Linked DNA regions of Rhinolophus ferrumequinum. The protein of the gene in region 4 interacts with the protein of the main gene of each other region in a pairwise test. Links are inferred from orthologs where the notes say so. Each region holds a gene or a part of one and is shown on either strand. Other genes may lie near its edges.

What was found.
Region 1: the proteins of TRIM39 (region 4) and UBTD2 interact in a two-hybrid assay, tested with the Homo sapiens proteins (2 studies listed by BioGRID and IntAct). The link is inferred for Rhinolophus ferrumequinum from reciprocal best matches to the Homo sapiens genes TRIM39 and UBTD2.
Region 2: the proteins of TRIM39 (region 4) and WDFY3 interact in binary tests that used the Homo sapiens proteins (3 or more experiments, as listed by UniProt). The two-hybrid records come from large-scale screens. The link is inferred for Rhinolophus ferrumequinum from reciprocal best matches to the Homo sapiens genes TRIM39 and WDFY3.
Region 3: the proteins of TRIM39 (region 4) and POLI interact in binary tests that used the Homo sapiens proteins (3 or more experiments, as listed by UniProt). The two-hybrid records come from large-scale screens. The link is inferred for Rhinolophus ferrumequinum from reciprocal best matches to the Homo sapiens genes TRIM39 and POLI.

The regions. Positions count from the first base shown.
Region 1 is NC_046307.1:38,257,341-38,265,263, forward strand, and holds the start of UBTD2 (ubiquitin domain-containing protein 2), read right to left. Parts: upstream 3,002-7,923; 5' UTR 2,862-3,001; coding exon 2,792-2,861; exon of another isoform or gene 2,788-2,791; intron 1-2,787.
Region 2 is NC_046288.1:39,505,553-39,513,200, forward strand, and holds the start of WDFY3 (WD repeat and FYVE domain-containing protein 3), read right to left. Parts: upstream 3,012-7,648; 5' UTR 2,560-3,011; intron 1-2,559. UniProt on the Homo sapiens protein: Required for selective macroautophagy (aggrephagy). Acts as an adapter protein by linking specific proteins destined for degradation to the core autophagic machinery members, such as the ATG5-ATG12-ATG16L E3-like ligase, SQSTM1 and LC3.
Region 3 is NC_046302.1:44,050,946-44,058,449, reverse strand, and holds the start of POLI (DNA polymerase iota), read right to left. Parts: upstream 3,009-7,504; 5' UTR 2,884-3,008; coding exon 2,805-2,883; intron 1,501-2,804; exon of another isoform or gene 1,416-1,500; coding exon 1,293-1,415; intron 1-1,292. UniProt on the Homo sapiens protein: Error-prone DNA polymerase specifically involved in DNA repair. Plays an important role in translesion synthesis, where the normal high-fidelity DNA polymerases cannot proceed and DNA synthesis stalls. Favors Hoogsteen base-pairing in the active site.
Region 4 is NC_046286.1:1,119,266-1,126,982, reverse strand, and holds the start of TRIM39 (E3 ubiquitin-protein ligase TRIM39), read right to left. Parts: upstream 3,013-7,717; 5' UTR 2,293-3,012; exon of another isoform or gene 2,189-2,292; 5' UTR 2,107-2,188; exon of another isoform or gene 1,999-2,106; intron 1-1,998. Other genes in the region: developmental pluripotency-associated protein 2-like, read right to left, coding at 5,836-6,705.

The DNA.
Region 1 (7,923 bases), on a different chromosome or scaffold from region 4:
TGAACAAAATAAGAACTCTTCGGCTGTGTTCAATTAATTTCACTTTATTATTTTAACCCACATATTTGTTATTTTAAAAAATCTTAAGAGATTTAATTCCTTAGCAAATGGCATGGGCCAAAAGCCCGTCTAGAGGTCCTAAGTGCCAATCCAAGCATCACAATAATAAGGCAGAGAACCACACAGAATATGCTATGTAAAAATGTCAAAACAACTGGAAACCCTAGGAGCACGGAAACTTGGAGAGAACTGTTGAATAATCTACTTCTATAATACACTTGTCTTGATTAAAATTAAGCATTAAAAAATGGTCAAAGTAGCTGAAACTCAAAAACTGAATCCTAGGCAAGGTATGACAGGAAGATGACTACAAATGATTCCAAAACAACAGGTAACACAAACCTTATAACATGAATTAAGTCATTTTCACATTTTACAGTCTTTTGCAGAAATTTCCCAAATCCCTTCAAAGAAGTAATCCACCTAATAAGGAAGTTTTTCTCAATATACACACAAGTATTTGCCATTCTAAAATAGTGATGCTTGCACAACATTGTGAATGAAATTAAATCTGTCATGAAAATCTTAAATCTGTCATGAAAAGCATCAGAAGGCTGTATTTTACTCCATGTTGATAAAAGAATTTTTCATAACTCAGTATGTCCAGATTAAAACTACTAACCACTATTATGTTCGAAATGCAAAGGATCTGTGTCAACACCCTTAAGAAAAAATCTTTCCCTTCCCAACAAAAACCTAATGTAATAAGCAAGAACTATTTAACATGTTCTTGAAACACTCACCTGAGCTAATTCCTTTGAACCACGATTAACTTTAAACTATCATGACAATAATGAAGAATAAAGGATTCCATAATTAAATTCCAGAAACAATCCTTTTATTCCACATTGCTCCTTCCTCCACCCCAGTGACATGAGGACCATGCCTTCTCTCCAGAAGAAAATAAAGAGGTTTGGTGGTTGATGTTCCTTTTTCCTAAACTTTAATTTTAAAAGATATAGCACAGCTTAAGGTCCAGAGGACTCAGCTCTCAAAGAAACTGATACTATAGCTATCTAACTAGATACCACTGGTAACAAATTACCAAAGGCTAAGACTTTATGCTTTTAAAAGCCCATGCTAATAATGCCTGGCTGGTCATAAGTCACACTACCAAATGGCTTAAATAAATTGGCTCAAGTTCATTACCAAGAAAAGAAAAAATGTTTATTAGAATTTTTAAATGCGTCTGAAAAAATAATAATCAAAACTAACCATCACCTATTACAAGCACTAATATACTTGTGTACTATTAATGCTCACCTCAATGTCAGGAAGAATCATTGTGACCCCCAATTTGACCTTGACTCAAGTGTTTTAAATCATGCCCCTTTTATCTTCTTGCTCTGTTGTCACTGAGGATCTCACTGTCACTGTCCCAGCAAGTAATAATGCTGACTTGAAATGCACTATAAAGTAGCATTTCCATGGACAATTTTTCCAAGAACTACTTCACTGAGCTTTCAAACCATTTGCCCAGAATCTAGTCATACAAGATACCCATAGATTTTAATGAAGTGGCAAGGTTAAACATCCTGTAATTCAGAAAATTCATCAGCCAAAAGTTAGAGGTACATGGTTTATTGATGGAGCTTAAGCGACAGGGCAAGCAACAACTAACTAAATGTTAGTATGTTAAGAAAAAGTGGTAAACTTTTTTGTAAACCCTTTTATCGCCAAATGATTTAGTTTAGGAACTTATAAATCTGCTCCACATTTTCAGACATCTGACATAAGGTTGCAACCAAACCAACACTGTCATCTTCACTATTCCTAAAACTTTTTTCTTCTTTAACTAAAATTCTAACCTGCACACAAGCTACAGAATGGACTCAGCAAAAGGTCATTTTAGTAAAGCTAGAATTACTATTATTATGCTGGTAGACTACAACTCCGACTGAATTAAAATACCTTTCCTCAGCAAACTGCTATTTACAAGACAACGACGTGCGTTCCGTGTTAAAAAACTTTTCAAGTCCTGAGCCTAATGGGAAGTCAGACTCTTATGCATTTGCGCTTGTATCCTACGTGTTTTCTTTTACGTAAGACAGATAGGAATTTGACTAGCCCACCCCGACAGCAAGCTGGCCCAACACCCTCCTGCTGCAGCGCGAAGCCACATTTTACTCGGGCAGACCGCTTCCCCACCCCTCGTTAAAATAATGCCTGTGGCCACTTGAGACTTCCCCAACTAAGCTCCAGAAACTTGCAGGTTTAAATGGCCAAATTGGAACCAACCAGGGCAGCTGTCATCTGAAACTCAGGAAAGCTGAGACCAGCCAACTCTGCTGAACAAGGAAGGGTGCCGAGAGATGTGGCGGGGCCCGTCGGAGGGAATGCATGAGGCTCCCCTCCCCAACCCCCCAGCAATTCGCTTTTCTGCAGCCCCAGCGCCGCCATCCTGTTCCTGAATAATTAAACGCGCTGGAGACGGAGTGAGGTGGCCAAAGAGGCAGTTTCGGGTCCGAGTTTCCCGAGCCGAGGCGGTGGGGTCAGGAGGCCGAGGGCTACATCCCCGGCGCGCGGAGGACTTTTCTCCGGGGCCGGGGAAAGATGGGGGCGACCCCGCGGCCGGCCGAGTGGCCGGAAGCGGGGCGCGGGGAGTGACGTGGAGGAGGGGATGACAAAGGGGCGCTGGGGGCCCGGCCGCGCTCCCCGCGAGCCCGGGACAGGTGGCCGGGCCTGGACGGGAACAATGGGGGGCCGAGGCTGCCCCCTGGTGCTCACCTACCTCCGGTGCCCTCCGAGTTCTCGTTGAGGCTTCCCGAGGAGTCGTGCTGGGCGCCCACACACCCGCCCATGGGGGCCCCTGGCGCCTCGTCCGCCACCTCCGGGCGCTCGTCCGGGCCCGCCGCCGCCTCAGCCTCCTCAGGCGCCGCCGAGCTCCGGACAGGCGCGCCGCTCCGCTCGCCCGCCGCGGCCCAGCCTCCGCCCCCCTCGCCGCTCCACCCACCGTCTTGGCTCGGCCCCTTCCTCCGCGCCCACTTCTACCTCAGCCCCCTGGCCGCCCGCCCCGCAGGCCTGGCCCGCGCGCCGCCCTCGCCTCCGGCTCGGCCTCGCCAGGCCGGGGCTGGCCCATCCCGGGCGCGCCGAAGCGCCCGCCTCGCCCCTCACAGCCCTGCACACCCGCGTCCCGGCGAGGCCCGCGCCCGCGCCGCCCGTCCTCCAGGCCCCATCGGCCGCCGCCCCGCGGCGCCGCCCTCCGCACCCGCGGCCTGGGCTCGGTCGGGCCCGCCCGGAACCGCCGGGGGGGCGGAGCCGTGGGAGGCAGCTCGCTGATTGGCTGCGGGAGAGGCCGCGAGCGGAGGAGGGAGGGGAAAGAGGAAAGGAGGGGAAGTGAGGGTATCTCTCAACCCGAGGAAAAGAGACGAAGGCGGGGATCGGTCTGGGGGAAGAGGCAGGAGAAGGAAGCAAGGAAGAGGAAGAGGGGAAGACGCGAAAGAAGAAAGGTTAGGAAGGAGAGAGAGCAGGAAAGGAAGCACAAAAGTGAGAAAGAAGTGGAAAAGGGCACAATCTAGTTTCTTGCCTCCCCTCGGACGTCAGCTCTTTTTCGGGTGGGAGGGGGCACGGAGAAGTAGTAATGGAAGACTCGCTGGCGGGGACCGGGGCGGGTTCCCGAGTAACCGGCGGAAGGGGTCCTGGCTGAAGGCTGAGGTCCCAGCACCTTTTGGGTTTGTGTCGAGTTCAGTGGATTGGTACCCCGAATCTGGCCTTCCCATTGCCTGCCCCGCCCCTATTCCCCCTAAAATCACTGTGCCCCATTATTAGATAGAGAGGCAGTCATTGTGGTTGCAAGCTGAACTCGGATTACAGAGGCGAGGCATCCCGTGTAGGGAGAGATAAAAGCTGACCGTAGTTCAAGGGGTATGGGTTCGTTTCATTTTCAGAAGATTGATTATTCATACACAATGCTACTTCCCCTCTCTTTAGGTATCTTAAATCGTCTTTAGAACAACGTGAAGCATAAATAAATAAAATACCCTGCTTTTTCTAAACTAGAATTTGGTACATTGACCACACCCAGCATTCTTGGCGACTGCTATCCCAATCTAAGCCAAATTGTTAATAGTCCCTTCAGGATTGTGCTTCTTGCTATGATGCCTTAAAATTTTTATCATCCTGCTTGGACCTTTCTCAAGCTTATTTCTGCCTAAGAGCTGTTTTAACTATCTGCTCCATTTTTATATTAGACTTTTTTTAACATCCTGGGTCACTTTTTGCTTAGCCTTAAAAAAATTTTTTTTTAAGTGAAATACCTAAGGAAGAGACTCTCTGCAGTTTGGAATTTGCATTTAAATATATTTTCATACACTGCTGGTGGGAGTGTAAATTGGTTCAATCTTTTTTGCAAAGCAATTTGGCAAGGAGGTTCAAGAGCCTTTAAAAATGTTAACCCACTTTGACTTGGGATTGTTTCACATGTGGGAATCTAGTTCACAGCAATAGTCCAAAATGCAGAGATTCCTGTCCTTGCATTCATTTGATAATCAGATAAAAATGAAGGCTCAACAAACAAACAAAACCCTATACTTATATTTAAGCACAGAAATGCCTTGTGAGAAACAAGTCTGCTCTATTAGATGTATCCTGATGAATCAGTGTTGTCCCAGGTAATCATGAACCAACATACAAAGGAGCTTTGAACATTTATATGGACATTTCTGAGTTTGCAGAGGTTGCTCTGAGATTCAGGCCCTATGCACAGAGCCTTCTATCTGATCATTCTCAGCTGAGTATTCACGTAGGCAGACACATCTCTTCCCTGAAGGAGAGAAGCTGCATGCTAAGTATCTTCAAAGGGATTGCTTTGTCCTGAATTTTGCTCTAGAAATTGCTGAAAGCAAGGCTTCCACATGTCTATTAAACAGATGGTAGGCATCCAAGTGATGAGTGCTTTCTGATGAGCACTGTGGAGTTGGCACTAGGAAAAGAGCAATCTCACTGAGAGATTCTCAGCTATGGATGTTCTCCACCCTGCCTTTATCTTAGACCAGGGACACAAGTTTCTGGGAGACTGAGTAATGTGGCAGTTAAGGGCCCCAGCTCTGCTATCAACTTCCTAGGTTGGAATCTGAATTCCATCCTGTTCTGGCTATAGGACCTTAAATTTCTGTATAGCTCAGTTTCTCACCTGTAAAACTGGGCCATAACAATGCTCCAAACTCTGGTGGGGGAGGGTCTGTTAAATTTCCTCTATACATCTAGCTTCATGGGTCTAAACTTCCTGCATGGCCTAATCCACTTAAGACCTTCTGTAGAAACTGCATTCTTTGTGTATGGGTGCACGCATGCGTGTGCTTTTCTATTTTTTATATCTTTATTGAGATATACTTCATATGCCACATAGTTCACCAACTTAAAGCGTACAATTCAATTGTTTTTGGTATATTCACAATCAATTTCAGAACATTTTTATCACTCCAAAAAGAAACCCAGGCCTATTAACAGTCATACCCCATTTCCTTCCCAACTCTCAGCCCCAGCTCTAATCTATAATCTATCTTTTGTCTCTATAGAGCTGCCTCTTCTGGATATTTTATTTAAATAGAATCCTATGTCGTCTTTTGTGGACTGACTTCTTTCACATCGTATAATGTTTTCAAGGTTCATCCATGTTATAGTACGTATCAGTCCTTCACTCCTTTTTATCGCTGAATAATATTCCATCATGTGGCTAAACCACATTTTGGTTATCCATTTATCAGTTGATGGGCATTTAGGTTGTTTCCACTTTTTGGCTGTTATGAATAAAGCTGTTATGAACATTCATATACAAGGTTTTGTGTGGATGTATGTTTTCGATATATACCTAGGAGTGGAACTGCTTGGTCATAGGGTTACTCTGTTTAACTTTCTAAGGAATTGGCACACTGTTTTTTCAAAATGGCTGCACTATTTTACATTCCCACCAACAATTTACAAGGGAATATAAAATAGTGCAGCCGTTTTGAATATGTAGAGTATCTCATTGTGGTTTTGACTAGCATTTCCCTAATGACTAATAATGCTGAATGTCTTTTCATGTGCCTATTGCCCAGACTGACATCTGTTTCTGGAAAAATGTCTACTTAGATCCTTTACCCATTTTTAAATAGGATTATTTTTCTTTTTATATTGAGTTGTAAAGGTTCTTAATATACTCTTAGTACAAGTCCCTTAGCAGATACATGATTTGCAAATATTTTTTCCCAGCATTATGGCTTGTCTTTTCTTTTTTTTTAACTTTTTAAATTTAAGAGTGTTTTTCCAGGACCCATCAGCTCCAAGTCAAGTAGTTGTTTCCATCTAGTTGTGGAGGGCGCAGCTCACAGTGGCCCATGCAGGGATCGAAACGGCAACCTTGTTGTTAAGAGCACCGGGCTCTAACCAACTGAGCTAACCAGCCGCCCCTTTTAACTTTCTTGATAGTGCCCTTTGAAGCATGAACGTTTTTAATTTTGATAAAGTCCATATACCTATTCCTTTATTTGGTTGCTTGTGCTCTGGAGCTCGTATCTATGAAACCATTGTCTAATCCAAAGTCATGAGGATGTATCCCTGTTTTCCTCTAAAAGTTTCATAGTTTTAGCTCTGACTTTTAGGTCTTTAATCTACTTCGACTTATTTTTTGTATATGGTGTGAGGTAGGGGTCCAACTTCATTCTTTTTCAAATGTGAATTTCCAGTATCCCAGCATTTGTTGAAAAGACTGTTCTTTTCCCCCATTGAATTGTCTTGGCACCCTCGCTGAAAATCAATTAGCCATAAATGTTAGATTTTTATTTCTGGACTCACAATTCTGTTCCATTGATCTTTACGTCTATCGTTATGCCAGTACCACGCTGTCGATTTCTGTAGGTTTATAGTAAGTTTTGAAGTCAGGAAGTTCTTTTTTCCAAGATTATTTTGGCTATCGGGGTCCCTTACATTTCCATATGAATTTTATCAGCTTGGCCATTTCTGGAGGAAAAAAGAAACAGCTGGAATTTTTTTTTTTTATCATTTCATCCATTTGAAACAGCTGGAATTTTGATGGGAAAAATGTTAAGTCATCTGTAGATTAATTTGGTAAATATTGCCATCTTAACAATATCAAACCTTCTAATTCAGGAATATGGATGTCTTTCCACTTGTTTATGTTTCAAATTCCTTTCAATGGTTTTTTGTAGTTTTCAGTGTACAAGACTTGTACTTCTTTTAAATTTATTCCTAAGTGTTTCATTTTTTTGCATGCTATTATAAACAGCAAATTTGCTATTTATAACTAGATTTGTTTCTTAATTTCTTTTTCAGATTGTTCATTACAAGTGTATAGAAATAAATGGAGTTTTGTATATTGATCAGGTATCATGTAACCTTGATAAACTCACTTATTAGCTCCAATAGTTTTTGCTTCATGTATTTTGGGGCTTTGTTGTTAGTTGTTATATGTTTGTTATTTCTTCAGGGCCTTCTTCACTTAGCTAATTATCCAGGGAGAATTAGCAAGGGAGAAGGATGAAGGAGAAGTAATAAGAAGGAGGGAAAAAGAGAAGGGAGAATGAAGTCCAGTGGCTGTCAATCTCTAGTATGGATGTCAGTCACTTGGGGAGCTTGTTAAACTCCCAGAGATTCTGATTCAGTAGGTCTGGGGTGGAGTCCAGCAACCAGCATTTTTAACTCACACATCAGGCATTTCCTGGTGCAGTTTGGGCCACAGATGGAATTTCAAAGAACACAAGTCCTTGACAAAACTCAATTCTCCCCATTCCTTGCCAAACTATTTTTACCTTAGTCTCTTTCATCCTCCACAAATGGCACCATAGTCCATCCAGTTGCTCAAGCCCCAAACTTAAGAGTTGTTGGTAATTTCTCCATCTTCTTCACCTCTCAAACCCATTCCAT
Region 2 (7,648 bases), on a different chromosome or scaffold from region 4:
TTGAGGGGAATAAATGGCAATGTGTCTTTGACTGTAATAATTTTTTTAATTTAAACATTCACCATATTGTTTGATCACACCTCATAGCCTTCCTTGTTGTCAGGAGTGCTGGCTCTGGCACTAGACTGTCTGAGTTCAAATGTTGCCCCACCAGTGGCTGTCTGATTTTGAACAAGTGCCTCTAAAAGATCTATTTCCTCATCTGTAAAATGGGATTAACATTTTCCTAAGGTTTCAATAAGAACGCATGAAAAAGGATTTCTATGGGCAAATTCTCAACAACAAACATTTCTTAGATATAACTGGAAGTAAAGGATATGAATTATCAAACCTAATTCTCTAAGAATTTTAACTTTCCAAATATAGAGGATTTATACTTTAATTATATACCTACTAATTCATCTTTTGTGGAGACATCTTTTTGAGAATGTGATAACTCCAAGGACTCTTCACCCAGAGAAAAACGAGTATACAGGCATACCTAGTTTTATTGTACTTCATTTTATTGTGCTTCACAGATGTTTATTTTTGTTTTTTGTTTTTTACAAATTGAAGGCATGACCCTCCACCAGCAAAAAGATTCCTGCTGGCTTTACTGCTGTGGTCTGGAACCAAACCCACAATATCGCCAAGGTATGCCTCCATTTGTTATATTATGCATATATTTCTGAGGTTTCAAGGACCTTCTGAAACATATGCATGAAATTAAGAATGCTTGATATAAACTCTTAAAATTGCAAAGTTGAGCAGTGGATTTAAGAATTTTCAAAGCAGAGAATCCAACTATTGAATTATATACACTGTCATTTACTTTTTTAAAACAGATTTTGCAAGTACTGTGTTTCCCCGAAAATAAGACCTAGCCGGACAATCAGGTCTAATGCGTCTTTTGGAGCAAAAATTAATATAAGCGATATTATATTATATTATAACCAGTCTTACGTTATAGTAAAAAAAGACACAGTCTTATTTTACTATAAAGTCTTTAGTAAAATAAGACTGGGTATTATAGTAAAATAAGACTGGGTCTTATAGTAACTTTTGCTCCAAAAGACGCATTAGAGCTGATTGTCCAGCTAGGTCTTATTTTCGGAGAAACACCGTAAGACCAGACATCGTGTTTTCTAATTTCTATCTCCTTTACGCAGAAAATTTAAATTAGAAACCTAAATTTTTTTCATGCATCGATTTCAACTCAGAAAAACTGGTAGAAACCTGTATTTCTAGCAGTTTAAGAATGAATGACTCAAAGTATAACATGCAATACCCCTGCTCAACAACTATGGGAAAAGTTCTCAAGTCAGTCTAATGAAATATGTACTTTTAAATATAAAAAACATACCAAGCTAATTAATTCCTATGCTTAGAGTCTCATAATAAAGTTTTATTTTTTTTTACAGCTGGATCTATGCACTAATATTACATCGTTGTTTTTTTTTAACTAATCAATATATTTTTTATTCTGTTTTATGTTATGTTTGTTATATAGCCTGATGGTGGAAACTAATTGTTTTCAACCTGCTATCGAATAATTCCAACCTGGAAATATATTGCTATCTCAAAGCAAAGGTTTTGTTTTTCTTTTTTAATTGTTTGGTTTCATACTATAATAGTTGACTAACCAACTCATACCCATTACGGAAAAAATAGTTTTTCGTATGCATTAGCACGATATTCCCACAGGAAATAACCATTTTTAAAGTACTGGAAGTCGAGATAAGGGTTCACATACATAGTAAACATCCTTTCAATCAGGTTTTATCAGATTATTTCAGTGAAAGGGAGACCTAATACTGCAGACCTCCGAATTCAATGGTAAAAATCAATGAAACGAAACGCAGCATCTGAGGATCAAACACTGCCCAGGTTGCCAAATGACTGTTGGTCAGAAAGGTCACATCTGCTTTTAAAACCTCACCGTAATCGTGAATGTTTGCGATGCCTCCGCATCCCGGTACAAGAAAATAAGAGGGCAAACACACAACACAGGAGCATCTCTGGTTCCTTCCATGAACGAAGGGCTTCCAGCACAGGGCGTGGGGGAGGGGGGAACGGGTTCGAGAATAAGCCAGGAGAGGCCCGCAGCCCTGGAGACAGCGCCCGAGGGTTGGAGGCCCCACTCGGCAGCGCCCCGGCGTTGGGGGCTCCAGTAGCGGAGACCCCGTTGGGGGGACCCGGGCCAGACCCCCATTCCTGGACCGCCAGGTTACGCCCCCACTGCTTACTAGAGGTAATGTTCAGCCCTCTGCTCCCTCATCCCCCGAAATACCCCAGCATCGCTCCCAACCGCCAGCCGCTGGTGACCCCGACCCCGACCCGACCGCGATGGCGCCCTCTCCAGGTCGCAGTGGAGGACACACACCAGGCCACCAGCTCTGATGGCAGCGGCGACAGCGACTCGGGGCAGCGCGGTCCCGGGGGACGACGGCAGCTGGGCCGCGGCCTGTCCCCAGGGGCAGCGGGCGCAGGGCCGCCAGCGGGCAGCGCCTCCGCCCCGCACGAACAAAGCGGCCCAGGCGCGCGGGGCGCGGGTGGGGGGAGGCAGCAGGGGGCACTCACCGGGGGCCGGGCGGGAGCAGGCGGGCCTGGCCCCCAGTGGGGACCGCGGCGGACCGGGGCTCCGCACCGGGGGCGCGCTGGCGACCGAGAGGGGGCGACGGGAGCAGCGTCCGCAGCGGGGCCCGGGAGCCCCGCTGCGGGGGACGGGGCCGCGGGCCGGGCTTGATTCGGCGGCCGCGAGGTGCAGGAACCGGTCTGCCGGGGCGGGCAGCGGCGTTAGGCGGCCGGGGCAGCGACGCCGCCGCCTTTCCCTTCTCCTGCCTGGGTCCCTGTTCCCCCGCTTCCTCCTCCTCGCCGGGTCCCCGCCGCCGCCTCAGCCTCGGCGCTTCTCCGGCTTCTCCTCTCCATCAAGGCCGGGCCGACCCGCAGGGACCATCCCGGAAAGTGAGGGGTTGTTGCCGTTCCCCGCAGCTGTTGGTGGCCATCTTTAATCCTCCTCCTCCTCCTCCTCCTCGTCCTCCTCCTCCTCCTCCTCCTTTCTCCACCTCCCGCCGGCTGCCTGACTGACTGACTCTGGATCCTCCTCTTTCCCTTCCTGCTCCTCCTACTGAGCCGGCCGCAGAAATTGCAGCCGCTCTTCCTCTCCCCTCCTGCCTTTCCTTCCTCTTTCCTTACTTCCTTCCCTCCCCTCTGCTTCCCTCTTTCTCACTCTTACTGGCAGGATTCGCCCCCTTTTGCAGGCAGCGGGTGCTGAATCCTCTAAGCTTGAGTGTGGCCCACATTTTCACTCCTGTCCCTCGCCTCCCCATCCGGACGCACACACCCGGCTTCCTTCCCCTCGCCTTACACTCAGCCGCTCGAGTTTCCCTCTCCCAACCCCCTGCTCCTCTCCCGCGGTCCTCACCCTCTTGAGTTCCAATTTTCCCTCAGCCTCAGCTGAGAAAGGACAACGGGGTTCCGCTCTCCTTACCCTTACACCCATTTGCTGGATGCTGTCAGACTGCGATGGAAGAACGGGAGACTGTGTTAATTTCACTCTAGCTGGAGTACAAAAGGACTGCCCACGCTAGCTATTTTACTATGCAGCTTTGAAACTCCTGGATGGTGTCGTGTTGGCTCCGGTGCATCATTGGACCCAGGAGTTAAATAGCCCAGTCTCAAATGTTGCCTTCCCTCGGTGACCTTGAGCCGGTCGCCTTAAGATTTTAGGGGTTTTCTTTCTTTCTTTTGTAAAGGGCATTATTCATACCTTTGCCGTTCTAACAAACACAGTGTTTAGACTAAACGAGCATGCTTTAGTAAAACTAGAACCGCCAAGTGATCATCAGTTTGTCCCTATGTTGTTTGTTCCTAATCAATCCAGTGGACAATTTGGGGCAGGCTTCAGTTCTGGGAATGGAGGCAAATTGAGTCAGCAGTTATTGAGTGGACTCCCTTAAACAGGCTTAGAGTGGGGAAGTGGTAATATCGTTCTTATGACAAACTTGTTTTTCCTAACACTGCAATCTACCCAAGCTGGTGAATTTCCTCTAATAAAGATGAAGCAAGCTGGACTTGCTGTTTGCTTCTCTTCAGCCACTCTGCCTTTGGCCAATTGGAACCGTTTGTAAGGATTCACTTACTGATCACTACGATATTGGGCACTGCTAACAAATATAGGCGATATTAGATGTGAGCGCTTTGTGAAGTGGGGGGCGTCACAGTTTCTGCATCTTTGGGACAGTGGCTATCATAAAAAAGCACCTTGCTCTTTCAGAATAAGATGACTTGATGTGTTCAGAGGTTATTTCCTTCCACAAGCCAAGTATGAGGAGAAATGTTTTAAAATGTAGTTTTGGATTCCACTCCCAAGTGAATTTTTAAGTTTAAATATAAAATTCTGTTATTACAAAAATGTCTTTCAAAACTCTTTGAAAAGATGCCAAAACAAACCTAAAAATATAACTTAATAAAAAATACTAGTATGCTTTGCGGGGCTGGGAGGTGGGGTTCTAATCTTTTTCTTTGATGCTTAGCCTGCACCCAGTTAGGTTCCAGATCTCAGTTGCCATCTTTAAATACCAGTAATTCTTCTATTTGAAATCAACAACCTGCATCAGCATCTAAACCCAAATAAAGTTTTTAACACAGCTTTATATAATATGTTTTGGAATAAATTATAAAAACAAAGCATGTATATGGTGTGGGAGTGTGTGTGTATGTGTGTCTGCATGTGTGTTTTCTTTTTGGCCTTTCGGTGTTTATTTAGATTTTGTGTTTCTCCAGTCTATTACTAGACAAAATTACTACAAACTTCTTAACTCATATTTCCTTATAAAACTATATATTTGCAGAAAAAATAAAAAAGATTGGATAACATGAATACAGAGAGAGTGAATAAATCAGTTGATGTCTTTTAAACACTGAGACCAGCATGCATTCTAAAAGGAGAGTTTTCAGTTCAATGTGAGGTTTTACGAATCTTATCATTGTGATTTTATTTATACTGAAGAAAGAGGAGTTCTACATTTTAAAATTCATGAATCCTTTAATTATAAATTTTTTGTAGAAAGAGATACGTTGCTATTAAGTTCATAGGTAGATCAATGTGCAAATTCAGCCACTTCTTGTTAATGTCTTACTAACTGAAAATCTCACAAAGATTTTTCAGTGATATATAAAAAAAATGTAGCAAGATTTTTCGATTTTACTGAAGCCATATAAACATAGACATGTAATAATGGATAGTATTCAGAGAAATCAGACCCTTTGCATTTACTTTTTAGCAGCTCTGTTTCAGATCTGTCATTATTATAGCCCTTACCTTTTTCAGTCTTTGTTGCCAGCTAAGTATAGTTTCTCTGTCATCTTAGGGTTCAGGTATAATAATAATAATAAAAAAGGTCAGATCAGGTTTTTCTGTAACATTATTATTTCATATATATTCATTCTCAGATAAACTCAAGGTCCTCCATCATAAAACAAAGAATTATATTAACGTGGATAAAGCCTTTGTGCAGAGGCCAGATGGAAAGGGACTGAGGCATGTGCAGCAAACTCCTCTGGGAATAGAGGAGCAAACATGAAGGGCTATTACTAAGCAGAGCCTGGTCCCCAACTTACACTTCATGAAAAAGGTGTTTGTGGAATAACAAGAGGATATCTGTGGTAATAAAATCCATATTTGTTTTTAACATAATTGAAAATTCTATGAACATAAATAAACAAAGCATAACATTAAATGAAGAAAGGTGGAGGTAAAACATTCATGAAAATATCAAAAAGTAAGAAGAAGAAAATAAAAAATAGAAAAAAGCAATTTTGGAAAATAGGGTAAATAAGTATTGACAATTTGCTGTTTAAACAATTATTTTCTTTGCATTTGCTTTTAAGACTAAAGAAGTAATTTAAACTTGGGCTGGTAGAATTATTCCAGAGATAAGCATAAGTAAATTATAGAATCTTAAAATATTTATTACCAGAATATGGTGTGCTAGATTATGCTGGAACACACACAAAAATGAATTGAAACTTGGGTTGACTACTATATTTAAAATACACATCCACTTTCCCAGGCTATTAGGTACAACAATAGAAATGCCATATTGTTTTTCCTTGTTTGAAAGAGCCAGATGGAAAATAAACTGGGCAAGCAAATGAAAGTCTCTGGGGATCATGGGAATTGAATGACTATAAAAACCATATTCCAGGCAAGAATATAGTCTTAGGTAAATGTTCAGTTTTATTCTCAGAATCTGTTCTTTTAGAAAAGACAATATTTTTCTCAACGTCTTCCTCTTTGGATGGACTGACTAAAATATCAAGTGAATAATGACAAGCCATAGTTATCTGCCCTGTTTGAAATTTAGTATCATTTTTCACTCCTCAATTTAGAGAACTCCTTATAATTAACTGATGAGCTGTCCTCAACACAGTGCCATTTAGAGTCATTACTGCACTCTAATTGAGGAGAAATGCTTTTAGAAAGTTCCAATTAGAGACTTTTTTTGTCCTTACATTCAAAAAAGGTACTGAAGCATTTGCTTTGTTTTTTTTTGTGGTGGGGGGGAAGGAGGTTGTAGATTGGTTATTATTTTGTGTTTTTATTTAAGTAAATAATACGATAAAGCTTCTTTAAATTTTGAAGAGTAACATGAAGACATGAGACAACTGAATAGTAAGTTTTGCTTTTGCTCATCACAATGATCGTAATTATAATAGAAACAGGGTTTTTTGAACACTTTATTATTAATGAATTATATTTCTACTTAAAATTTGAAGGCCTTCTTGATTTTCAATTCCTTCATATTTCTTTATGGAGAGTTCAGACTTTTAAAACCAGTATCTTGAGAATGTTCTAGATTTATTCCACTCATCCTAAAATTTTGGCAAAAAAAAAAAATTCAAATGGCTTATGGTCACTTAGTGTATATTGTGTGGCACTCTGAATAAAACCCAGATCTCCTGACCCTCAAGTTCGAAAACTTCAGAGATGAAAGGATTAATCTTACAGATGGGAAACTGACGCCTAATAAAACTTTGACCACATTAGTTTAAATATAATTTAAATTTGATTTTCAGAAGTACTGTTCAACATTGACTTTGCTCAGAAATAAAGCTATAAAACAAAGTAAAAGCAACTGAGTTTTCCTGTTTTTTACAAAAATGAGAACAATTGTTTTCAGTAAAAAGAAAATTGGAAAAAAAAGTCCAAATTGACTTCAAAAAGTATGATTTTTTTTTATATATTATTCATGGGTCAAAAAGGGTAAAGTTAACTCTCAAAAATACTGTATTATTTAATATTGTGAATCTAAATTACAAGAGCCTAAGGACTCAGGATTCTGTAGAAAACTCTATTAGATAAATGAAGTAAAACATTGCCATCTGCTGGCCAGAGTGAAAAAAGTAGTTGATCTTTGATACACCTGTAAGATAAAGGAGTTCAAGAAACCACTATTAATTTATTCCACATATCTTTTAATAGAGCTAAAACGTACTATATTGGGTATGTAAAATTAATCAGTCCATTATACAGAAATTTTGGATTATAGTCCATACTAGCATGTAGTTGTTGTTAGTATTATTTAAAAGCTGGCCAACAGTTAAATCTGATCATGTCAGTAATGTAGCCGTATTTGGCTAAAACCACTTTTAGTTTTATGGCTGA
Region 3 (7,504 bases), on a different chromosome or scaffold from region 4:
CAAAATCAGATTGTTAACTCCCTTAACCAAAAAAAGTTTTTTAATTGCAGAACTAAATTATATGGACTCACACTAATATGTCACCAGCCCAAGTTAAGCAGTCATGTATTTGAGTATAAACGAAAAACTATTTTGCTTTCTCCTAGAAACTTTCAACATCACATCCCTCACTTCCCCAAATCATTCATTCCTGTCTTCACTACACAGTATCTTTTTATTAAGCATTATCTACAGAGCATCATGTGTTACAGGGCAACTAACTGAAATGCTTTTAGGAGAAAATTTAGGTCCCCTAATCCTAATTCCTTGACACACTTAGGAAAGTTTAAAGATCCTAAACTGACCTTAGCATACCAAAATTTGGTTCTTTAGTAAATCAACTGAACTAGGTTGAATTAGGATTTATCAAAACCAAACTAGGCATAAGGGTAGCAGCAGGTGAACCAAAATTGCTCTTTAAATCCTTACTACACAAGTAAAATAAACTTTTGGAACTTTAGTTTTTCAATTTATGATATAATAAAGTTAAAACAAGGCAACATTACTAAAAGTAAATTATCAGTGTAGAATTTGCTTTTTATTTATACTTGTGTTTTTATGGAAAGCTTGCTCTATATCCCTGAATACTTAGGGTTCTGTTCAAAATCCAACTATTTTGTCACAAATCAAGAGTTAATTTCAAAAAGGGGAGGATAGATCCGTGCTCCTAACTCCAAAGGCTGCCGGTTCGATTCCCACATGGGCCAGTGGGCTCTCAATCACAAGGTTGCCGGTTCAACTCCTCAAGTCCCGCAAGGGATGGTGGGCTGCACCCCTTGCAACTAGCAACAGCAACTGGACCTGGAGCTGAGCTGCGCCCTCCACAGCTAAGACTGAAAGGACAACTTGACTTGGAAAAAAGTCCTGGAAGTACACACTGTTCCCCAATAAAAAATCTTAAAAAAAAAAAGGGGGGGGGGAGGATAGACGAAATCTTCTATTAAAATGTAACAAAAGAGGTTGTTTCTGAGATAAAAGGAATGTAAAATTTCAAACACTGAGAAAAAGACTAAAAGTTTATTATGGTCTTTCTGTTCATCTATTCATTTGTCTATATTGTGTCAAATTCACTACTTATTAAATGAAGTTTATAAAGTTTACACCTGGTAATGAAGCAAAGATTTTGTTTATAAAGCACCTTAAGAACTGCTTCAAAAATCTTTCTTAATAAATAAATCAGAACACAATAAACATTAATAAATGAGTAGCTAATCCTATTAAACAATGAACATATTGTCAAAGTCCATAATTACCTAAAGGTTTGCCCTTTAGTTCCGGATTTGAGATCATTTCTACTTGTGCGTAAAAGCAATCCAGATCCATGTGTATTATAACCCTGGATGAAGAACTTCCTGCTGGCACCACTTGATCATGAACTGATGCACAATATGCAAAGAAATACAAACATATTCAAGCTGCTTATCATCTCTGAGCAACTGGTTGTTCCTTAAAACACGGTAACTGAGAAAAAGAGTGCAAAGTGATTTTAAAAGTTTTTTCCTGGATTTATTGTATCTGTCAAAGCATCTTAAAATTACAGACATGAGAGCAACTCCATCTACAGCAGGGTCTTCAGTCCTGTTTACTTAGCATTTCTTTGTGAACGGTGTTTTTCTCAAGATAGTAATAAACTTGATGGAAAGAAATCTTGATCAGCAATGGAAGATACAATGGGTAATCCTACTACTTGGAAGTTTAGAGTAAAATGTAGAGTAAATTGCAAGAAGCAGAAAAATGTGAACGCTGATTTCAACCAACTTTAAAATTATTCTAAGTGGCATATCCTTAAATTTCAAAAATTCATAAATACAAAACTGCACAAAGCAGGATTATATTCAGCTCCCATATGAAAGCAGGATTATCTGGTTCAGTGCTGAATCCCTGTAACAGTGCCTGGCATATAATAGACTATCAATAGATACTCACTAAATTTAAAGAATGAGTAAATATTTTTTGGATTGAAAAATAGACCATGTCATGGGGAATTGGGTGGGAGAGGATAAAACAGACGAGATTTCAGCCCTTAAAACCAGTTTAAAAACAAGGTAGGTTACATGCAGTGATGTTCTGGTCTGGATCCTGGAACAGAAACATTTATAGTGGGGAAAAAATGGTAAAATGTGAAGAAAGCTTGTACTTAATTCTTAATATTATGCCAAGGTTAATGTCTTAGTTTTGACAAATGCACCATGCTGACGTATGATATTAACGTTAGGGAAAACTATCTCTGCAACTTCTGTAAATCTAAAACTTTAATCCAAAATTTAAAAGTTTAAAAGAAAAAAAAAAAGGGCAGGGAAGGTGAGCGCTGGCCCCGGGCCCTGGATGGCGATACAAGCAAGGTAGAGCCCAGAGGCTGGAAGCGGGTCACCAGAGAGAAGGCCACTGCAGAGATGCCTTGCCCTCGGTTCCGTGCCGAGCCAGTCCTTGTAGCCCAGGCTAAGGCCAGGCCCCGAACTCTTAACAAGTGGACGAGGTTCTCTACTTCTGCAATCAATAACCGCTCGGGGGCCTCTTTGGCTTTCAGTAAACTGATTGAGGGATTACTAATGCACCTTCGACTGCCAAAGTGACGCGCCCACCCTGCTCCCACTAGGCGCAGCCATCCCTCTCGGGGTCTTTAGCCACAAAATAACAGGCAGCGAAGGGCAGCCCTCTGGGCTGAGCCCGGAAAACGAAAGGAACCCTGCGAGGCGGGGACGGTCGCACCCCAACGGCCGCCGCCACCGCCCCGGGCGTTCGCCCGCCCCGCCCTCCTCATTTACACCAAGGGAGGCGGCCAGGCTCCTCAGGCACCGGCGCACCCCACGAGCCGACTGCCGCCCCCGCCTCCTCCCGCTCCATGGCGCGAGCTGCGTCCTCTTCCTCGTCGCGGAAGCCTTCCTCCGCTAGCTCCACCCCCAGCTTCTCCCGCTGCGGCCTACCGCAGCGCAGCTTCCGGCCGCTTCCGCCCGGTCTCCAGGGAAACCGTGGGCCGACCGACCCCAGCCGCTCGGGTTTGCATGATCCCGGCCCGGCGGCCGACTAGCCAATTGCCCGGAGGTAAGCGAGGGCTGGGAATCGCCTGGATGCACGTGCGGAGGTTTCCTCTCGCCCAGTCGAGGCCGGAAGTGATGGATTGTCATCCCAAACAGATGGTTTGTTTGTTTTTTTTAGGCCTTGGGAGTTTGTCCCACAACACATATTTTCATTCTTTATCTTTACTCCGTTCTCGCGATCAACTGTTAGGAAAATCGCTAACCCTTTAGACACCAAACGATTTATGGTGATGGGGGTGGGGGAAAGGGTGAAAATTATGGTAAGAGCAAGGTGGCCATGTAAACTAACATGATTAGCAAGTATGTTAAAGTTTATTGCATTCAGTTCGTTGTTTGATTCAAAGAGACTGTGACAAATTGGACCCCTGGATTTGTAATCTCCTAAACCGAATAGGATTTTAATACATGAGCTTTGGAGTTAGATCAAATCGCCAATCCAGACCCACCTACTTGCTAACTGTGTGACTTTGGGCAGGCTACATAACTACTCTGAGCCTCAGTTTTCCCACTGTAAAAAAAAATAAAAAATGTCCTGAGATTAAGTGAATGAATACATGAAAACTAGCATATACTTTGAATATTCCAATGTATATAGCACACCTGGCACTTAAAAGATGCTCAATAAATGTTAAGTCTCTGCCTTCTGTTAAGATGCCTTGGGTGCCTTCTGTGTTTCAAGAGAGGAAATTTCTCTCTCTCTCTCTCTCTCTCTCTCCTCCCATATATACATATATGCAAAAACATACTTTGTTTTTTTACAGATTCTGCTCTTATATTAATAAATACGGATGTGAGAACCTTGAAAAAAACCTGTAAAGGACACGTTGATACATCCAGAAAGGAGAAGAATAACAGGAGAACCAGAGCTCAGTGGTTTGGAGACCAAATCTTCCTCTTTGGATACTTTACTCTTAGACATCTGGACCAATTCCCTAAAAGTCTCCAGTTTGGGATCAAAGACACTGATTTAGAGCTATGCTGCTTTCTTTGTGAATGCTATTTGATAAGTCTAGATAAAGAGCTTTTGAATTAAGTGCTTCATTGGCCACTAAGTGCCTCTTGGGCTATCAAGGGTCCAATTACTCGTAGAAAACTAATGGGTTTTTCCCCCAGGTTTTTTTTTTTTTTTTATTTCAACATGTTGAGAATGATACAAACCATGGAAATGCCATGGCAGATTAAAACTGCTTCCTTATGAGAGCCATAGGCTCACTACACTCAACAGCTTGAGTAAAAGTGAGCCAGCATTGAAAAGCAACACACATAATAAAGCCCTCTTTAGTTATTTCATTTATTTCCCTGTCAACTGTCAAATTAAAGAGTGGCTTTTAATTTGGTAGAAGAATAGACAAGTGGAACCTTGAAAACCTTAGGGGAGGAAGCAGAGCTGGCTTTTTTAGTGTGCCACCTATGCAGCAACACAGAGCCCTATGCTTGGTTTGATGATCTGTTATTGTCATCTTGAAATTCTTATTTGAACGAGGGAGCCTGCATTCCCATTTTGCACTGGACCTCACAAATTATTTAGCCAGTGCTGGGAACAAAAAGGAGAAGTGGCATAGAAAATGATACTTATGAAACACTTGTATGTCAGGCACAGGGCTAAGAGCTTAAAACAGATGGTCTCATTCAATATACCCTAAAGCAGGAGTGTCCAAACTGCGGCCCACAATCCATTTTTTATTGGCCCGCAGCAAATTCCAAAAATATATTTAGTTTATTTAAGTAAACCAGGTGAGGCAATACGTACTTCACCTCGAGTGAGTGGCCTGGCTGTTTGTGTATTTTACAGTAAATGGCTCTTGGTGAAAAACGTTGAAAAAAGTTTGGACACCCCTGCTTTAAAGGGTAGGTATCATCATTCTCATTTTCCCAAAGATGAAACAGGCCAGCAGAGACTAAGGTGCTTACTTAAGATTATGAATCTAGTAATGGTAGATCCACTTTTCAGAGTTTTCCATAGAAAAGAATTTATTAATAATGTTTCTTCCACAGAGGAAATCATTCCTTCTGCCCATTTACCTTGGTGCTTCAAACACCAAGACAACGTGGTGCCTGGAGAATAAACATCCCTTGAATATATTAGGAGGCATAAAAATAAAACTCATATGTGTTATTTTGTTGTGAGATAAATTAGGGAAGGCAGGGTTTTTTTGTTTCTTGATTTTTTTTTTTTAATTCTATAACCTTCCCTCAGTTTTAATTAATAGGTTTTAATCAAAGATAATTTCAGGAAATACATGTTTTGAGGGTAGATCATAATTTTATATTTAAGTGCAAAAACAATTGCAAGGCAGAATAAACATATTCAATGAAATAAAATTGTGCTTGAAACAATATTCACAGAAGAGCATGGGGTTGCAGAGAGTGTGGCTAGTGCATAAAGAAACTCAGGGCATTTTAGAGCTTCCAAGGTCAAGACTGTATGAACTTGCATATATTAAAGCATGAACACCCATGTCAGTGAAGGGTGGGGAAGTTATCAGTGCCTGCTTCTCTCCTCCTATCCAAATTGGCCACATACGGACATGAAGAGTGTGAGGGTATCCATGACTGTCTGTATTTCATATTGGTGAGTGGCTATGTACTTAGAGGTTGACCATAGGGTCAAAGGAACAATTTGAATTGGCAAAGGCACAAAGAGCTTGATTTTGTAAGGTCTTTGGCCTCAGGCAGTGGTTCTCAATTGGCGGACAGTTTTGTCCCCTGGGAGGTATTTGGCAATATCTTGAAGACACTTTTGGGGTTGCATCAGGGAATTGGAGCTCTGCACTGTCAGGATCTAGTGGGTAGAAGCCAGAGATATTGTTGAACATCCTACAGTGCACAGCCCTTCACAGTAAAGAACTATCCACCTCAAAGTGTCATTTGGGCCAAAATGGGGGTACTTTGGTCTAGTAGTGTTTATACCATCCTGCTCCCAACTCCCTCCTCAGCTTAAGGTCCCCAGTTATAATAAAGAAGTGGTCTTCAAATGTGTACTTTTAATTATAAATGATATTTTTTTAGAGAAAGGAGGATATAAGAGAGGGAGGCAAGTGTCATTTAGTTGCTTTTCACTGTGGGAATCTACATTGTGAGGCTAAAAAGCAAATGAATGTATTTGCTAGGAAAGAGATTTAAGAAAAATATGCACACTTTTATGGAGCTTGTGAGTTGCCCCTAGGGTATAAAGCTAGTGAGTCAGAAATAATTTACAAGGCTCAGACGCTAAAATCAGAAAACAGAAAGTCTTCAGATGGTTAAAAGCAAACTATAATTATGATAGACTGTTATACAATATACCTGTCATGCAATATTTAATAACTTTCACCCAAAGATCTCAACCCCTTTGCATAAAAACTTAAATTGTCATAAAGAATCTCTCTCTCTCTCTCTCTCTCTCTCTCTCTCTCTCTCTCTCCTCTCGCTCTCGCTCTCGCTCTCTCTCTCACGCACACACTTTCAAGCTTTCTCAGTGTAACCTAAAAATATTTGCTGCATACCATGTGACTGTGGCTAAGAGAAGGTATAAGAAGCTGGAGTTTTTCTAACAGTCAGCTTCTCTTTGCTTTGACCTTTTTCTGTGGTTCTGTAGTTCTAATGAAAAGCCTGCATCGTCACTTTAATAATGACATTTAAAATGTTGCTTGTCAGGGTGTATTGGGTGGACTTTGTCTCATCATTTTGGATAGAGAGAGGTGGGAACCGATGTGATCACAATACAAATCATTTGATCCCGGTTTATAAATAAAGTATGCAAACTTTAGTCATTGAGAAAAAGAGAACTACTTGATGTCATATAGAAAGTGCAAGCAGATTAACTTAGGTCAGGTACACTGTGTTAAATTTATAGACACCTAACTTTAATGTAACAATTAGACCTTTTTCTGATTGCCCAAGTAATTTGTGATTATTATGAAGAATTTGGAAAATATGAAAAGGAGGTGTGAAGAAATGGAAATAATCATAATAATCCATAATCCTGGTGCTCAGAGATAACCACACTTTAATAGCCTTTTCATAAAGCACAATTTTAAAAGAAAGTTTTTGTTTTATTTCACAAATTGCTGTATCTATTTCTTTATCAAACCACAAAGACCATTGTGAGATGCATTGCCTGAATAAATAACGTAGAAAAAACTTTATACACAATTGTTTTTGTTGTTAATTTGAAGGAAATGAATAAATACAGTCTTGACATCATCTTGGAAATGTTAGTAATTTCAATTTAATCAATAATCTCCATTTTCCTGGTTTGAATTAATATAAAGTCTCTATAAAGGAAAATTATATTTATAGGATTTATTTCTTAAATCTGATTCAAAGACTTCATTAAAGTACTTATTAATCCTAAAATTACTGCTAGTGACTCGGATAAAACAAATTCTTTTTTTCTCATCCATTGTTTAAGACATTTTAAGAAGACGTGAAAGTATCAGGTACAA
Region 4 (7,717 bases):
CCCCCATGTAAAATCCTAACTCCACATTTAGCCCCATTTTGGTATTTCACATCTTCTCTTGCACCAGATTCAACCTCTCTTTTGTTTCTCCATTTTCAAAACTTTTGACTCCCAGCTATCGATCTAATTTTTTTTCATCTTCAGCAAACTGACACACAACTGCCAATCTCTTCTGTTTTTCACCTCTGCTTTCTCTTGTTAGAAATGGAGGCTTCTTTCAACTCTAGCTCAGTATACTTCTCCTGATCCAGGCTCATACCACTTCTATCTTAAAACCAATAATGCCAGACCAATTTATCCCTAGTGTGACATATTTTTCTAATAGATGAGAAAGGAGTTTGCGAAAGTGCAAAATGCCATTAAAGTCAAAGTATTAAGATCTCTTAAATTAGGTATATTTTAAAGTTTAATGTTACAGAAGAGTTTTATTACAATAGTCCATTGGAGCCCAAGCTTGATTCTCTGCCACTATTCTCTCTCTCTTTCAAACAGTAATAAATGGAATTAGTTAGGCAAGGCTAACAACCTTCTTTTCAGGAAAGATTGAAATTCTTCTTCCTTTTATCAGACTAGTGTAGAGGAAGTGTGCCCTCCTCTTGGAATGAAATGATTCACACAACATCCTATTCTATTTGTGTGCAATTGTACATTTGGAACTTCCGAAAAGTGATAAACTCATGGCAACTATACTAAAGAGTGTGTTACTGAGTCCAGGCTGAGAACTTCTTGAAAAGAGGGATGAAAAAATCTATTTTAAATATCCTGCAGGGACTGGAGTCTTATGAAATAGCTATCGATAACTAATTCCTTGGACATACTGTGCCTCCAACTATAGGTTTTGGAGTGGTTGGGAATGAAAAGTAAAGAAGGCAATCAAAATCTCCAAGTGAAGCCTCAAAAGAGTTGGAAATGCATAAAGCATTTATAAAAGCAGAAGACTGGTCCCCTACTCCATCCTTAAAATGTCACCATTTTAATCTATGAAATGGTTGGTTTCTCTATCCCTATCACCCCACCTTCCACCCTCCCTCCCCTCCAAGGGTCCCAACAGAAGGAAAGAAATTTAGTATGTCTATGTGCTGAGAGAGGGTCTATGTGCCCCTATAATGAGTTGGGTTAACAATGATTATTCCTGTATATATTGATGGCACACGTGAAATGTGTTAACTTGGAGTAGTAACTAATTTGGACCTCAATTTCTTTCCTGAACCAGGAGACCATTCAGTTAGATGATTTTTCTCCACCTATGGAACTCCAACTGTGAGTAGTGATCCTGCCCTTACCCCAATATTCTAGGAATTAGGTGTCCTCCTCACCTGGGGTGAGTTGAATTGTACGCAGTTAGGGACCAGGAGGGATCTGACTGGCAAAGAAGTGGTGTGAAAGAAATGGGGAAAAGGTCAGGAGAGTATGGAGAGGGCTTGGAGCTACAGCCATAGTGAGGCCTCGGGCGCCTCTGGATTGGTCATTTCTTTCCCTCTGTTCCTCGTGTCTCTGTAGAAGGGCAAACTTCAGGGACGTCCTCATTTTGTTTCTACCACTGTCCGGGGTCCCACCTTGCGACCCTCTCCTGAGCGTGGTCCACAACTCGGTCCCACCCCCGGCTCCTTCTCCCGTCAGATCTGGCGCAGGGGTACTGGAGAGGAGGGAGAGGTTGGCAGGGAAGGAGGGATGAGTGTCCAGGTCGGGAGGAGTGTGACGTGAAGGTGGGATGCCCGCTGCTATGACGCAGCCGAGACCCGCGGCGACCGCGTCAGAGTTTCACCGGGGGAGGCGAGCGGCAGCGGGACGGGGAAACGGCGGGGTAGCCAAGCAACGCCGGACGCGCTGACGTCGCCGGGGCGGCAAAACGTCCGCCCGGGCCCGAGGCGGGAGGAGGCAGCGGTGGTTACGTGCGGGGGGCTGGTGACGCAGTCGCGGGGCGCTGGGACGCGGCGTGCGGAACCGGCCGGCGGGGCAGGCCCCGGGGCCCGGGCGCGGCGGCGGGACAGCACCTACCTTCCCGGCTTCGGGTCCGGTAGTGCGGGGCGCGGAGCCGCCGGAGCACTGCCTCCCTCTTTCCTCCTCCCCCCGCCCCCGCCCCGCAGCGCGACACACAATACTCGCCGGAAGCGGAAACGGCGCCGAGAGGCTCGTGTCAGTGGAAGCCGTGGTATCGGCGGGTGGCCGCGGGAGGGCCTGGCGGTGCCTGCGGAAGAAGGCGGGAGGCCGGTGGTGAGAATCTGCAGGAGGAGTCAAGGGCGAGAAGGGACCTGGAGGGGCAGGTGGCTGAAACGTTGTCGTCCAGGTGACCTGAGGAATCCGCTGGAGAGAGGGCCGCGCATGCGCGTGGCTGAGCTCTGAAGCCCATTGCCCGCAGGGCGCCGACGGGCGCGGGCAGGCGAGGCTCTCCGGGCCCGGCAGCGGCTCGGACTCTGGCTGGGCTCGGCTGACCCCGGGTGGCGCCGGGAGCCGACGGGGGCGGGGCGAGGGCGGGCGGCGGACTTTCAGTTACACTTATCCTCTGCAGGCCATTCCGGGGAGAAGGTGGCTAGGTGAGGCGCGGCCAGTTACGTGGTGGACCTGCGGGTCTCAGCAGGCACGTCACTTCCGACTAGTTTAGAGTTAGCCCTTTACGGTTCAGGGATTAAGTACATTCTCCCAGCCGTGGGCTTTAAGTGCTCCTCGCCCTACCTCTACTATGCGAGCTTTAAAGAAATGATCACCTCCCCCGCTGGACTGGGAGTCCCGATTGAGCTGGTACCGCGACTCTACTGCTCACCTTTGTATACTCAGCTCCTTGCTTGGGCCCGGCCGCGAGCGCGCCCGAAACGCCCGTTAACTATGTGCGAGCCCAGGCGCGCTCTTTCCTCTTTGGGGCTGTGACTTGAGTTTCTTCGCGAGAGCAGATGGTGCTTGTATGGAGACTACAGATTTTTGCAATATAGTCCCCTGTTTTCCTCTCCTGATGTTGGAAGCTTCGCAGCAGGTGGTTTTGCAGCGATGAAGCAGAGGAAGCCTCTGCTGAAAGAGGTGTGATGAGACTGGGGAGGAGCTAGCGATGAGTAGAGGGGTGATGGGGCAGGGGAAAAGTTGGGGCTGGGCAGGAGTAGGTGCTGGGTAAAGGTGTAAAGGGGGCGGGGAGGAGTTAGTCCAAGGTGGGTAGAGTAGGCAGCTTGCCCCGCCGGCTCTCCCCCGACGTTTGGCATGCAGAATGCTTACTGAAAGAGAGGAAGGAGCAAGTTTTGGTGTACCCCGCCGAGGGAAATGGCCAGTGACCCAACTTGTTCCTGTGTAAATTGTGATGTTATTTACACTGTGCAGCATTTAACCTCATCCTAGGAGCCAGAAACTATTTACTTGCAGAAAATATTAAAAAGTGCGCGTTATAAAGATTTTGATCACACATGTTAAGTACAATTAGTTTACTTTTTCTTTACTGGTTTCCTTTTTGTTCACTTTTCTTTTTAAGGTTGCCAATGATTGAAGAGGATTAAACTTGAGAAAATCACATTTATTAACTTTTCCCTCATTGCTATTTGGCCATTAGGGATTTTAGCAACAGTACTTGTTCTAGTTCACAAAACGTCTCAATTCTAAGGTAGGGTAATTTGAAAGCCACTAACTGGATAGTCAGCCTCTTTAGCTTTGTTTTGGAGAGAGAGTCATCAGTTGTAATGTTGATTTGTACCAAGGGATTTCCAACACAGGACCATGCAAAAATGAAGTATAATAATGAGATAACATTTTTAATGAGACGAAAAGTTAGAAATACACACTTTAATGTTTTTATATCAGGAAGGGAGAACAGAAGCAACTAGCTTAAAATTACTGAGTCATGTAGAAGAAATGGGTATATTAGCAGTACAGGTAGAAAACTGGTCAAAGTCACGTATGGTGGCTTGGGGATGAAGAGGGTTCAACTATCCAGACTTCTGAGACTCTTACCCAGAAAAACGCAAGGCATCGAATTTTCCCCCACCTTTTTTTTTCCACTTTTTAATTATGAAAAATTTCAAGAATAGACAATCTTCAGTTTGCTTTTTATACTTTATACTGACTATCTTCTATCTTTTTCAGTTACATAAAACTACCTCATTCTTTTTCAAGTCTGTGTTAGTCATTGTGTAGACATATAATTTATTCAGCCATTTTATTTTGAGTACACATTTAGGTTCTTCCCAAGTCTTATTAAATAAAAGCTGTAGTGAACATCCTTGCACATATATGTTTCCCCCCAGTTTTATTGAGATATAATTGACATACAACATTGTATTACTTTAAGGTGTGCAAGGTGATTTAATATATTTGCACATGTATCTTTAGATGGTCATACCATTTATTAGTAGGACAGATTCCTAGAAGTTGGGCTGTTGGGTCAAAAGGCATAAAAATTTAAAAGTCTAATAAGGTTGTATGTCCACACCAGCATATGATGAGATAGTCTGTTTCCCTACTATGGAGCCAGTGCTTACATTTTCAGGTGTAAAAAAAATTTAGTAATATTTTTCATTTAACTTTTTTTTTTTGAAAGTAATTGCGGTTTTTGCAATTATTTTAACCCTTTACACCGCAATTACTTTTTAAAAAGATCTTATTGGGGGACAGTGTGTTTTCCCAGGGCCCATCAGCTCCAAGTGGACGTCCCTCAACCTTGCTGTGGAAGGTACAGCCCACTGGCCCACGTGGGAATCGAACCGATTGCTGTTCAGAGCCCATGTTCCAACTAACTGAGCCACCCTGCTGCTCCGTCATTTAACATTTTTAATGATTGCATAACAGGTCTTGTTCTGCAGATACCATACATTTTTTTTTTGTTTTTTTTTTTTTTTGTTTATAGCAGCTTTATTCATAATTGCCAAAACTTGGAAGCAACCGAGATGGCTTTCAATATGTGAATGGATAAACAACTTATGGTACATCCAGACAATGGAGTATTCACTGCTAAAAAAAAAGGAAAAAAAGTGGGCTAAGGGATCAAATATATGGTGACGAAAAGAGAACTGACTGACACTGGGTGAACACACAAAGTGATATATAGATTATGTATTACAGAATTGTACACCTGAAACCTATGTAACTTTACCAACAATTGTCACCCCAATAAACTTTAATTTAAAACAAAACAAAAAAAAGTGAGCTATCGAGCCATGAAAAGATATGAAGGAATCCTAAATTTACTTTGCTCTGAAAGAAGTCAATGTGAAAAGGCAACTGTATGATTCCAACTGTATGACATTCTGGAAAAGGCAAAGCTATGGATACAGAAAATGTGTCAGGGGTTAAATAGGTGGAGCACATAATTTTTAGGGCAGTGAAGCTATTTTGTATGACACTATAATGGTGGATATGTCATTATACATTTCTCAAAACCCATAGAATGTAAAACATAAAGAGTGGACCCTAATGTAAACTATGGGCTTTCGGGGATAATGAAGTGTCAATGTACGTTCAATAAATGTACCCCTCTGGTGCAGGATGTCGACAGTAGGGAAAATGGGGGAGTGCAGGGAACAGAATTTGGGAACTCTAGTTTCTGCTCAATTTTTTCTGAAAATTTAAAACTGCTTAAAAAAATCTATTAATTAAAAGAAAACCAACTTATATTCTATATGTTATAGCTAAATACCTGAAGCAGCAGGGGCAGTCACTTTTTGGCAGACCTGAAGTACAGAATCCAGACATTCACATCTGTACTCCAGGCATCAGGCAACACTGAGGATGGCCAGGACAGGGCACAGCAATCACTGGGATACAAATCAATGTATCTGTGAGCTATCTATCCACCGTTTATTCTTTATTAAGACATGGCCAATCCAAAAGGAATGATATGATTGTGTTCAAACCAGGTTGCTTCTACTTCTTCATTGTAGTTAATCTTTCCATCATCCTCTTATTCCTCTTAACACAATCGGGGCATAACATATTATCTTCTAGGTCTGGGTATGGGAAAGTGCAGGCCGGCAACAGGAAGAGAGAGATCATCTTCTTGGGAGGGTCAGGCACCCACGCCTGACCTGCATAGAACTGCAGGTGAACCCAACCCTCTCTGTCTGCCAAGAGAGGTCTGCCGTGGACCACACACCACCTGACACCAGACGTTTGCAGCAGAAAGTTCTCAGCAGAAGCAGGAATGGGACATGAATTCATAGCCTTAGGTTGAACGGCTCTTGCAGCAAGTCTTGCCCATGCTGCCAACATGGCTTCCTGAGCTGAAGTTATCACTTCAACGCTGTTGGTCATTTGCTCTCTCTCACTCATCTTACAACTTTTCTTACTCCTTGCTTTCTTGGTCACCATCTTGCATTTCTTTGAACTTGACTCCTGTAGTATTTCAGGAATGTTTTGTTTTTCTTCAGAGTATGCATGTTCCTTGAGCCTCAGATAAACGTCTATTTTCTTGCCATCAGTACTCAAATTAAATTGTTGGCACCAGTTCCGCAAAGTGTCCCAACGCACTTTATTAATTGAAGGCAAAATGGTCGGCAAGGGGAGCATTGGTTTTGGACAAGCTTTGAACTGTTCACTCGTTTGAGGAAGATAAACTTCATCATCTGTCCTAGGAATCTTCAGGTTGTCTTCTGAGATTGAAGAAATGCTTGGTTCCATTTCACGTTCTTCATTAGTTTCCTCACTAACTGGAACCAATGTGAGAATCACACTTTCTTCCTCTAATTCAACCTTAAAGTAATCCTTTTCGCTGCTATCAAAATTTGAATTTGCCATTCCCAGGAACACTCAGAGAACAGCAAAGCCAGCACAGTTAAGGATACCTGCAGTTTACTCCTTTTCACCATACATTTTTCAGCACTTTCTCAGCAGGCGGGCATTTACTTAGGTTTTTTTCCCCTTTTTTTCCCTGCTGCATAAATGGTGTTACAATAAAGATTCTCTGAACATATGCCCTTATGTGTAGTGCATTTATTATTGTGAGAAGGGTTCCTGGGTAGAAACATTGTGGAGTTATAATCTTAATGGGTATTGCCATATTGGTTTTCTTTTGTTTTTATTTAAAGTTTATTGGGGTGACAATTGTTAGTAAAGTTACATAGATTTCAGGTGTACAGTTCTGTATTACATCATCTATAAATCCCATTGTGTGTTCACCACCCAGAGTCAGTTCTCCTTCCATCACCATATATTTGATCCCTTTTACCCTCATCTACCAACCTCCCCCAGCCCCCCTTACCCTCTGGTAACCACTAAACTATTGTCTGTCTATGAGTGTTTCTCATTTGTTTGTCTTGTTCTTTTGTTCTTTTTGGTTTATATACCACATATCAGTGAAATCATATGGTTCTCTGCTTTTTCTGTCTGACTTATTTCGCTCAGCATTAAAATCTCAAGATCCATCCATGTTGTCACAAATGGTCCTATTTCATCTTTTCTAACTGTCAAATAGTATTCCATTGTGTATGTATATCACAACTTCTTTATCCATTCATCTATCGAAGGACGTTTTGGTTGGTTCCATGTCTTGTTCACCATAAATAAAGCTGCAATAAAACATTGGAGCACACGTGTCTGTCTTCATGGATAAATGTTTTTGGATTTTTTGGGTAGATACTCAGGAGAGGGATTGCTGGGTCATATGGTAATTCTATTCATAATTTTTGGAGGAACCTCTGCACTGCCCTCCATAGCGGCTGCACCAGTCTGCATTCCCACCAACAGTGTATGAGGCTTCCTTTTTCTCCACAGCCTCTCCAACACTTGTTACTATTTGTCTTTTTGATGA